Linked DNA regions of Nothobranchius furzeri. The protein of the gene in region 1 purifies or fractionates together with the protein of each later gene. This does not show direct contact. Links are inferred from orthologs where the notes say so. Each region holds a gene or a part of one and is shown on either strand. Other genes may lie near its edges.

Region 1 (5,728 bases):
CATTTCTGTCTATTTTGTCACATCTGTATTGTAAATTATACATATTTTGTAACAGGAAAGAGCAAACTTTCTTTTCATAAAAGAAATAAAGTATTTTCTACATGATTTAAAAGAGACTGCAGTTTTTATTTATTTTTTCATGTCATGTGCAACTTTCACAAATGAGTCTCTACGTGTATTTTCTTACGTTCCCTAAAGGTTGTGTGAAGAAGGACCGCAGGAAGTCAGCCCCCTTGTCTCACATCTGGTAATGACATTGGCCTACATGCATCAAGATCTGCCTGTCTGGCTAGAGCGCTGCGCAATACAGCTTTTATTAAATACAGAGCGCTCCGTGTTTCTCTTTCTTTATTCTCTTGACATGTAGGGAATATCAGCTAACACCTCATTCCACATTTGTCATGATTAAAAGTGAGGAAAAAACACATACAGATGGTTTTAATTTTGCTTCCAGAGAAAGATTTGGACGAAAAAAAAAAGAATCGGGGCAAATAAAAGTCAGTAAATCGTTCACATTTGCAGATTTATGTTCAATAAAATCTTCGTTTATGTTTGCATTGATTCGACATATCTCAAGGATTTCTAATTGCATTAAAACGTATAAGTTTGTTCTTGATTTGACAGCATGTATCCAACATCAATGAAACTGAGGGATTGACAGTACCACAGATTGGGTTTTAATTAAAGCAAATTTTACTTTTAAAAGAATAAACTCAGATTTTTGAGTTTGCTGATGTAAAGTAGAGAGTTGGATAACTTCAGAACAAAAAGGTTTTCATTGCAGAGGTCAAGAGACGGTTCAAAAAGGTTTGTGAGTTGTCATGGGACATGCCAATAAAAACATTTTGGCATAAATCTGTGGCTGCAGTTTGATATCTAATAGTGATGTGTCGGTCGCAAACGAACCGGCTCTAAGAGCCGGCTCTTTGAAGTGAACGACGGGAGCCGTCCCCTCCCCTCCCCTCTTGCTTTGGTGCAAGCCACAGGCGATTGGTCAGCATGTGTAACTGCGTGTCCAGACTGTCCACACACAGAGCAGTAGGGGCGGGGAAGAGGGAGGATCAGACTCAGACACACAGCAGAGCACATGCGGGAGGAGGGAGACGAGAGGGAATGAGGAGGAGGTAAAAGGAGAGTGCGACTAAGACGGTGAGAAAATGAGCGCCAGCAGTCAGAAAGTGTAGATTTCTTAAAGTGTTCAGTTATTAAATCCATAGAAATGATAAATATTTGATATATTGAATTTTTTTATATTAGTAAATCATTCTACAAATAGTTTAGTATTATTTTGGTTATAAATGTACTCTACGCAACAGAAAATCTGAGGAGCCACTAGGGAGCCGGCTCTTTTTGGTGAGCTGAGCCAAAAGAACCGGCTCTCTTAAAAGAGCCGGAATTCCCACCACTAATATCTAGGGTGATAAGGCATGACTGTCTGCAACAACTGGAGCAGCTGCACGGGAAAACCTCAGATTTGATGAGATTTGTACCAGTGCAGATGTTTATCCAGATGTTGACTCTACTCACCAGGTTTTGGACGCAGTCCTTCCTCCTGTTGAAATCCAACAGCAAACAGGCGCGTTGAAAGTCGTAAGTCCGCGTGCACAGACACTTGCTGGAGGGTCCCCTTCCACTGATCTCATGGCAGAGCAGTAGTAGACTGATGCAGCTTCCACTCCTTAGGCCTGAACACTCAGTTAGCTTGTGGTGCCACCTTGTGACTGTGAGAGAGACCACTATGACCTGGCTTACATATTTTGTAACAGAAAGAACTGGTGTGTCATATACTATTGGTGTCAGTGCATGCCTGGGGCAAACTGCTGCTCAGAGCTGGAGCTGCTCACAAACATGTTTATCTCAAAGAAGAGTCCAGACAAGCACAATGAGTGTGTGAATGTGTGTGTGAATGGATGAATGGTACACTGCAGTGTAAAGGGCTTGGGAGTCCCTACTCTTGAGAGGCGCTATACAAGTGCGGGTCATTTATCATCTTTTATCATTTAGCTATGGGGTTATTATAGGTCAGATCTTTAGCAGCAGTGTTTTCATTTAGTATTAATCACATACTATTGCATTTTAAAACATTTGTGTTACAAGTCATTAAATAGCCGTTTGTTATTACAGTTATTGATTTCATGTAGCATTGCATTTTTCTTTTTAAACTTTTTACCAAGTATTTTCATTTTACGTTTAGGTGTATTAGAGCATGCTTCCCTTGACACATTTGATTAACTGTGAGTCACAGTTTTGGCACTGTGCTCCCATTTTGGCCTAGCTTTTTCTTCATTCTGAGAATTCCTTCCGAATAAAAGCCTCCTCCCTCGTGACGTACGTTTCTTCCATTACACGTTAACGGAGGCAGGTCTCGCGCTTAGGGGAAGACTCTTATTGTGAAAGTGAGGGGAGGCCGCCACAATTGCTTAGTCACGGAGTTACTGCTTTCCCCTCCTTCCTATGTGGCGAACTGCTCGAAAACCCATGATGGAGGAATTGAGCTAGTCTACGTGAGTGTCCTTTATTTTTTACAAATGTACCAAACCACTAACAGTCTAGAGAACCAGTTTGAACAGGTCTGAGTGCCCGCTGAAACCCAAGTAGCAGTACTGTTTTCAGGCTTCGCTTTGTTAGCGTTAACCTATCGACTCGCAGCCGTTACTCTAGTCTATTATTAGGAGTCCGTGTTGCTGTCAGCTCTATTTCCGTGACATTTTATTTGTTTCTATTGCGTCTCAGATTGTTTTTACTTTATTCTAATCGTTTTACAAACTTACAGCCGATGGCGTCCACCTGCTTTGCCTTTTGAACGCCTCCAGTATTTGATGAAAACGAGCTCAGAAACTGTGACCTTTTTAGTGTGCGAGGCAAAGTGGGCTTTGTAAGAAGCGTCTTCATGTCAGGTAGGTAGATGGCGCGGAAATCTTAATTCCGTTCGGGCTTATGTAAGGACGAGCTCCACTTCTGGGTCGTGCTATCGTACAACCAGCTCTGTTTGCTCAGTGAAGAGTTCACGATGAGTCATGGAGGAGGGAGGCTCAAAAATGTCAGTGAAACATGTTGTGCGTTTGTTTGGCTCGTTCTCGTCTGCTGGTTTAGTAGCGTTTAAATGGGTGAAAGGTCACGTTTAGTTGCCGTTTTTAGGCCCTGAAAGTGGCTCCAGATTCTGATGGTGTTGTACGTCACTGTAGGCAAGTTAGTGTGAAAGGATATGCTTGAGAGTCAAGTGTGACTAGCTGCAGATGTCCCTGCACAATATCCTCTCTCACTAGGTAAAGTGTTGTGGAGTTGCCTGAAGGTGATCTTAGAGGTTATGTCTTGTGAGGAAATGAGTCATGTTGGTGTTACACATTATTTGGTCTTTTTCCAGCTGAGGATTTACAGATGTTTATGTTTGGGTTGTTTTTTTTTTCTTCCCAAAAATCTACTTTTGCAATTCCCTAAAGTACAATCAGTGTACTACAATAAAATGACGTGCACAACACAACTTAAAGGGTTTCTCTGACTTATCTGATGTCAGCCAAATCATGGCAACTTGAGCTGGATGACTTGTAGTTTTATCTGTCACGTCTCAAACTTACTATTTTTAAGTTAAAGTCCCCGGCGCATCCAGAGTGACACTTGACCTACTTGTTTGTTGGTCAGCAGCTTCTGCACCTAGTAGAGAGCAAATGAGTTGAGCAATAAGCTCTTCTGTGAAACACTTCCTCAGAAACCTGGGGAAGATAAAAGCACCCAGTGACTCAGAACTTAAACCGGTTTCATGTTACAGTAAATTTAACTCACTGAGTGCTCACACACACACACACACACACACACACACACACACACACACACACACACACACACACACACACACACACACACACACACACACACACACACACACGCACGCACGCACGCACGCACGCAGCCATCTGTTGATCATTTAAATAGAGTGAATCTCAAACATAACCATTTTAATTAATTTGCAGATTGAGGAGCGGTCATAGGTTGGTGACAACAAAGTCTTATCATCACGTCTCTGCACCATCTCCTGTACCCAGGTGATGATCAGTGTGTGTATGCATGTGTGTGTGCAGATTGTTTAGTTATATAACTGACCCACTCACCCCGTTCAAGGATCAGCAGACAGGCCGTTACAGTTAGTTGTATTGAATATACCACTATTAAAGGCAGTTCGATTTCTGAGAGGTAGTTGGAATGGCAGTGAAGTTCTTTCTAATTCTGCTGCATCCCCTTTGGCTGCTTTAGTGGTATGTGTGATGAAGGGTGTTAGTTCTGTGGAGCTTAGGCCATATGATCCAAGTAGATGTACTGGTTTCCAAACCAGTCTGCAAGAGTTGTTTATTTGTTTCCATTCAGCTAAATGCAAAACGCTGGAAGATTAAAATAAATCACATTTCTAATTCTAGTAGTTTATACTGGGAATGAGTAATAAACTGCACACATTTATTGTTATAAATTATTTTTCTTTATTTTTACAAGTGGCATCTTTTAAAAAGGTGTAGTGTGTATGCATTAATAACTTGTTAATAACACATAAAATGCTTAGACTATTTAAGAGAGTAGCCTAAAACTAGATCCAGTTATATTAAAGAGAGGATTAGTGTGCATTGCTGTGCATGCAGCAGAGAGGGAAAAGATGCTAACCAGTTCAGGGTTTCCCCTAGCACTTTATAAGCCTGGTAGCCCGCCAGGCTAAGGGTCACACCTTGCCCCCCTCCCCGACTCTACCGTGTCCGCTGACACGAACGGCGCAACGAAACTAGAGCCATCCATCATCTGATACTGGTGAGAAACAGCAACGGAACGTGTGCAACCCCGCTCTCACGGAGGAGAGCTGTAGGATCGATTGTTACTATAAGAGAATAAACACTACAGGCCTTCCATTTTGTATAACACTGCTTTTATTGTGTTGTGGTTGGTTATGTTCTGGTGACGTGTAGAACTTGGGAGTGCAGGCGGCTGCCTGAGAGGTGGTTGGAGACGGAGTGTCTCCATGCTGCTTTGTTTTGGTCACTTATGAGCGTGAGGCGAATGGTGTTACAACCCTTTCTGGGGAGTTTGGCTCGTGTGCAAAAAGGAAGGGACAATAACACGGGATTTAAAAGGTAAAATGATGATCAGGTTTATTTACAACAGCAAAAAAACATAAATCGTTCCATCCACAGGTTGGGAATAATAAAACTAATTCTGCCTGTGGGGAATTAAAACAAAAGTACAAATAACTTGGGATGTGGCCACTGGGCAAAGATTACTGGGTTCTAGACCAAAATGAGGATCTCCAAATGTTTGTTTATTCATTTCGCAGACGCTTTTATCCAAAGCGACTTACAATTTATAACCTATGGGGCATGTTGTGATCTGTGGGGGAAACCGGAGTACCCGGAAGTAGTGATGTGTCGGTCGCGAATGAACCGGCTCTAAGAGCCGGCTCTTTGAAGTGAACGACGGGAGCTGGCTCGTCATTGGGAGCCGTCCCCCCCCCCCCCCCCCCCCCCCCGCCTTGGTGAAAGCTACAGGCGACTGGTCAGCATGTGTAACTATGTGTCCAGACTGTCCACACACAAAGCAGTAGGGGCGGGGAAGAGGTAGGATCAGACTCAGACACACAGCAGAGCACATGCGGGTGGAGGGAGACAAGAGGGAATGAGGAGGAGGAAAAAGGCGAGCGAGAGGGAGGAGAGTGCGACGAAGACGGTGAGAAAATGAGCGCCAGCAGTCGGAAAGT
Region 2 (5,921 bases), on another chromosome or scaffold:
TAATGTTATGATGGGTAGTGCTGCCTCCCCCTCTGCGGCTTTGACTTGTGGTGTTCCCCAGGGCTCTATTCTTGGACCCCTTTTATTTAATTTATATATTTTGCCCCTGGGTGACATTTTTAAAAAACACCACATTGATTACCATTTTTATGCAGACGATTGCCAATTATATGCCTCTGTGAAGCCTAATGACTCCTTACTGCCCCTTGTTGAATGCTGTAATGATGTGAAGAGCTGGCTGTCAGAAAACTTTCTTTTGCTGAACGACGCTAAGACAGAGGCCATCATTTTCAGCCCTGGTACTTCTCAAAGTCCCCAACTGACCCTTCCATTTATCACAAGTGGGTTGAAAAACCGTGTCACAAACTTAGGGGTTGTGATGAACGCTAAACTAAAAATGGACATTCATGTCAACCAGGTAGTTAAGATCTGTTATTACCACCTGAGGCGTCTCTCTAAAGTTAAGCCCATTTTAAAAAGGCGTCATCTTCATTCAGTTGTCCATGCATTTATTACTTCCCGTCTCGACTACTCTAACTCAGTGCTATACGGTATCTCCTCCTCCACTCTCGCTCAACTTCAGCTTGTGCAGAACGCAGCAGCTCGTTTCTTGACTGGCACCAGGCAGCGGGAACACATCACACCGGTTTTAGCAAATCTTCATTGGCTCCCCATCCATCTCCGGATAGAGTTTAAGATCCTGGTTTTTGTGTTTAAATCCCTAAATAACTTAGCACCTGGCTACTTGTCTGAGCTCATTCACCCATATGTCCCTACAAGATCTCTCCGATCAGCTGACCAACACCTCCTACATGTCCCTAGCTCTCGCTGTAAGTCCCGCGGGGAGCGCGCCTTTTCAGTTTGTGCACCGAAGCTCTGGAACCACTTGCCCCTCCCGATCAGACTCTCTTCCTCTCTTTCCCTTTTTAAGTCTCGTTTAAAAACTCACTTTTATTCTCTGGCTTTTAATTCTGTCTAACTTATTCCCTTTCTACCTTTCCTTTTAGGGTTGGATTACTTGATTTTAATGGATTTAGTTTTTATTTTTGATTGTTTTTATTGTGTGTTTTGTTCAGCACTTTGGTCGGCTCTCATGCCGTGTTTAAATGTGCTATATAAATAAAATTGGTATGGTATGGTATGGTAAATAATCCGATGATTAAATGGTAAATAGCCTGTATCTGTATAGTGCCTTAGGGTTCTACAACCCCCCAAGGCGCTTCACAACACAGTCATTCACCCATTCATACGCTGGTGGTGATGAACTACATCGTAGCTAAAGCTGCCCTGGGGCGCACTGACAGAGGCGAGGCTGCTGAACACAGGCGCCACCGGTCCCTCCGACCACCTCCAGCAAGGCGAGTTAAGTGTGTTGCCCAAGGACACAATGACAGAATTCTCTGGTCTGAGCCGGGATTGAACCTGCAACCTTCCGATTACTGGACAACCCACTCTACCTCCTGAGCTGCTGCTGTCCCTTACATCCAAGCACAAACCCACAGAGGACACAGCTAAAGTTCAGAGTCAAAATGGCCGAACGTCCATTAACATGAGGCCTTTCCTAGAGCTAGCTTGTAGCTCTGGTGCTCAATAATTATTCATAATTTCAAGCATTTAATTACAGTCAAAGAGTTATAAAATAACTCACCCCCTCAGAGTTGTCATAAATGTTAGAAAGATCAGTCAAACCTAGAATGGCTTTTTGAACCAGGCTGTAAATGTGTTTATTTATGCTGTGAAACTGGCTTTTTTAACATGGGAGTCAAAGGGAACTTGCTCTGTTTTGGTACTAGCCCCTAGCGGATGAGGGTGGAACTGTAATTTTTGGTACTTCCATGCTGGAGCAAAGCCAGCGGCCTTGATCCCTTGGTACCGACGCACACTCAGAAGCATAAGCTCGGCTTAAATAGCGCCAGATACATGGCTATAACCAAGCAGCTGGCGGTCTCTGTTTTAGTTCAGATAGTCCTCGTGGGCATGAATGTTCCGTCTAAGAGAAGAGCAAAACACTTTGCTTCCCTTCTCAGTTATCCAGCATCAATTAACAGAGGCTGCCTGTGAGGTTCACTTGAATTAAAGAGAACTGAATCCACCTGAGCATAGTCGGTGGAACCGACAGATCCTTGAGTGCACAGATGCACTTTGTTAGGCAGGCATTTATCAGGAAGGCATCGATGTTCTAAACTCGCTTTGTGGACTACCCCCCAGGTTCGTGCGTGTGCAGCTTACAGGGATCTTGTTTGGGTGCTGCTCTCGGATCTGCTGGACCTCTTTGCATCGATCAGCTGTCGACAAAACAAATAGACAGCATGATGAGATTAGGAAGTTTACAGCAACAAGAGAAGATGTGTTTTGGATTGGTGGCCATATTGCAGCCATTTTGGATGGTAGGCTTTCGACTCCGTGTGTCACTGCAGATGGCTGCTTATGCTGATCCAGGATCCTCTGGAGGTTTCTTCCTGTGAAGTCTCTGACACAAGTCAGTGACTCGATGCAACCTGCTGGGTTACTTATATAGGAAACTTTTTACTGATTGCATTAATGAACTGAACTATTGGAATGTTTACTTTGAGAAGCGCCTTAAGAGGACTTGTCGGGATTTGGCGCTTTATAAATAAACGGAATTATAGATAGGGTGAGAAGCTCAGTCATCCGGGAGGAGCTCGGACTAGACCCGCCTCTCCTCCACATCGAGAGGAGCCGGTTGAAGTGGCCCGGGCTTCTAGTTGGGGTGCCTCCTGGACGCCTCCCTGGTGAGGTTATCCAGGCACATCCAACTGGGAGAAGACCTAAAGGAAGACCCAGGACACACTGAGGGGACTATGTTTCTCAGCTGGCCAGGGAACGCCTTGGGATTCCCCGGAGAAGCTGGCCCAAGTGGCTGGGGAGAGGGAAGTCTGGGCTCCCTGCTTAGGCTGCTGCCCCCCATGACCAGATTCCAGATAAACGGAAGAGGATGGATGAAACTCATTTCTAAATGAAACCATCATAACCACGTTCTGGACCTTAGCATGGGTGTCAAACTCTGGTCCTCAAGGCCCACTATCCCACATGTTTTAGTGTTTTCCCAGTTTCAACACACCTGATTTCAAGCTTGGGCCTCCCTGCTTAGACTACTGCCTCGCGACCTGATCCCGCGATATATTTGCATCAACCAAAATAATCGTGGTTATCATTTTCGCCATTGGCCGGATGGGTCTCTTCCTGATGACATCATCCTGTGGTTCCAGTCAGAGATGTTAGGGTGTTCCAGGTGAAACTCCAGTTTTAGAGCTTTCTATCAACCCGTTCCAGGTGTTCATCTACATAGTTCTCACCTTGCTTTGATATTCATGTTTCTGACACTGACAGCTGGTCCGTTCAGGTGAGCGGGTCACTGCCAGACTCCTCCCCTCCTGTCAGGTGACCGATTTAATCAGAGAATACGTGTAGGGGTCATGTTTCAGCACAACTTGTTGTTTTGGCCTCGCGGTGGGTCACGGAGCTGATCCGGTTGTGTAAAGGCTGCGGCGTCACATTGACCCCGTTTACCGTGAAGCTACAGACCGACCATCAACACATGTAAACACGTTAAATCCGGTGTGAACCTACGCATTGAAACGCACTAACGCTAGCTGTAGACAGCACCGTCTTACCGAACGTTCTCCGCTGCTTGAACGGTCGGTCCGACGGCATCCCGGCAGCGGCTTCAGGCGAAAGAAGGTGATGAAAACGGCCCTGGGAGGGTTTCAGATGGCTCGGTCTGAAGCTCCGCAGCAGCTCCGTACAAACAAAGCCAGTAATCTGACGCGCTGACGTCATCCGCTGCCTTATGGAGGTGAGTGAGGCAAGCCAAGTTGTCATTTAATATTCAGAAAAGTTATTCAGTTCCTGTCAGTAAAATTGAGGCCGTCTCTGGATCAGATCTCTGATTTTTATCTGATTTGGTGCTAAATACTGATAAGGTCATGGTAGTGGGGGATTTTAACATTCATGTGGACATTGAAAATGATAGCCTCAGTGTAGCCTTTAGTAATATACTGGTTTTACCCAAAGAATGCATAGCTCCACCCACTCCTGGCATCATACATTAAACCTTGTGCTGATTTATGGCATAGAGTGTGAGGAAAATAACGATATTTCCACATAATCCAGTCCTCTCGGACCACTTTTTGATCACCTTTGAGTTTTTTTATAACTGAGTTCTAGAGACATGAAAGTAAATTTCACTATAGTCTGTCTTTATCTGACAAGGCTGTTGCATCTTTTAAATCAATTATTCCATCTTTACTGTCCTCAGCATCTCAGAGGACTGTAGCAGAGGGCAATATTTTCATTTCTAGCCCCTCACAAATTGATGATTTAGTTCATAATGTTACTTCTTTACGTGTGGCATTAGATGATGTTGCCCCTTTAAAAAAGGTAATTAAGCACAGGAAGTTGGCTCCCTGGTTTAATTCTGATTTACAAACTTTAAAACAAAACTCTAGAAAATTGGAAAGAACATGGCGCTCTACAATTCAATTCAAGTTTATTTATAAAGCATCAAATCAGGACCAGAGTCGTCTCAAGGACCTTCACACAGTAAACATTCCAATACAGGTCAGGTCATTAAGCCAATCAGTAAAAAGTTTCCTATTTAAGGAACCCAGCAGGTTGCATCGAGTCACCTCATACTAAGAATGCAGCGACAGTGCAGAGAAAAACTCCCTTTTAACAGGAATTTTGTGTTTCTTAGTAAACATTCTATTTGGTGAGATAAACTTTATTGTATTTATCCTAGTGAATCTATAATTAATCTGGTAAACTAGGAGTAGCACATTCAATGTCAAAGAGAGTAAAATGTTATTGTCAGGAGAGGGAGAAGTGGTTAGCAGCAGTGTGCTAGCCAATGGCCCCCTCCATGAGGCCACTACAGCTCAGCAGAACATCATTGTAGCTTCTTCTGGGGAGGAAAACACTTAAGAGTAAAAATAAAGTTAACAGCTGAAATAGCAGGAAATAATGCAGTTAAAGAGCAGATTGTAGAAGAAAGTAGTAGAGTGTGGAAAGTGGTCAGTATGTCCTCCAGCATTCTAAGCCTATAGCAGCATATCTACAGAGATAACTCTGGATAACCTAGCCTAGTCTTAAAAGTAGAGACGGTGTCTGCCTCACGGACTAAAGCTGGGAGCTGGTTCCACAAGAGAGGAGCCTGATAGCTAAAATATCTGCCTCCCATCCTATTTTTAGATATTCTGGGAACCACCAGTAAACCTGCACTCTGAGAGCAAAGTACTCGGTTAGGAACGTATGGAACAATCAGATCACTAATGTATGATGGAGCTTTATTATTAAGAGCTTTATGTGTGAGAAGGAGGATCTTAAAGGCTATTCTGAATTTAACAGATAGCCAATGTAGGAAAGCTAGGACAGGAGAGATATGATCTCTCTTTTTAATTCTCATCAGAACTCTAGCTGCAGCATTTTGGACAAGCTGAAGATTTTTAACTACATTCTGTGGACTTCCCGAGAGTTATGAATTACAGTAATCCAGTCTTGATGTAATAAATGCATGAACTAGTTTTTCAGTATCACTACTGGAAAGGATGCTTCTAATCTTAGCAATATTCCGAAGGTGGAAAACGGAAATCCTACAAACCTGTTTAACGTGGGATTTGAATGACATGTCCTGGTCGAAGATAACACCAAGGTACCTTACTTTGTTCTCGGAGACTATTTTAATGCCGTTCAGGTCAGGTGATTGATTAAGCAGTTTCCTTTTCTGAATTTCGGGTCCAAAGATTAGAACTTCTATCTTGTCTTGATTTAAAAGCAGAAAGTTTTGAGTCATCCAACTTTTTATGCCATCAAGACAAGCCTGTAATCTAACTAACTGATTAGGTTCATCAGGGTTAATGGATAGATATAACTGAGTAACGTCAGCATAACAGTGGAAGTTT

The links. The genes of interacting proteins can lie anywhere in the genome.
Region 2: the proteins of keap1b (region 1) and microtubule-associated proteins 1A/1B light chain 3A purify together in Homo sapiens (affinity purification with mass spectrometry; 3 studies listed by BioGRID and IntAct, with this or other methods). This does not show direct contact. The link is inferred for Nothobranchius furzeri from reciprocal best matches to the Homo sapiens genes KEAP1 and MAP1LC3A.

What each region holds. Positions count from the first base shown.
Region 1 is NC_091747.1:74,193,741-74,199,468, forward strand, and holds the start of keap1b (kelch-like ECH-associated protein 1B), read left to right. Parts: upstream 1-2,240; 5' UTR 2,241-2,504; intron 2,505-3,968; 5' UTR 3,969-4,040; intron 4,041-5,728. UniProt on the Homo sapiens protein: Substrate-specific adapter of a BCR (BTB-CUL3-RBX1) E3 ubiquitin ligase complex that regulates the response to oxidative stress by targeting NFE2L2/NRF2 for ubiquitination.
Region 2 is NC_091743.1:78,249,659-78,255,579, forward strand, and holds the start of microtubule-associated proteins 1A/1B light chain 3A, read right to left. Parts: upstream 3,805-5,921; 5' UTR 3,802-3,804; coding exon 3,636-3,801; intron 2,286-3,635; coding exon 2,230-2,285; intron 1-2,229. UniProt on the Homo sapiens protein: Ubiquitin-like modifier involved in formation of autophagosomal vacuoles (autophagosomes). While LC3s are involved in elongation of the phagophore membrane, the GABARAP/GATE-16 subfamily is essential for a later stage in autophagosome maturation.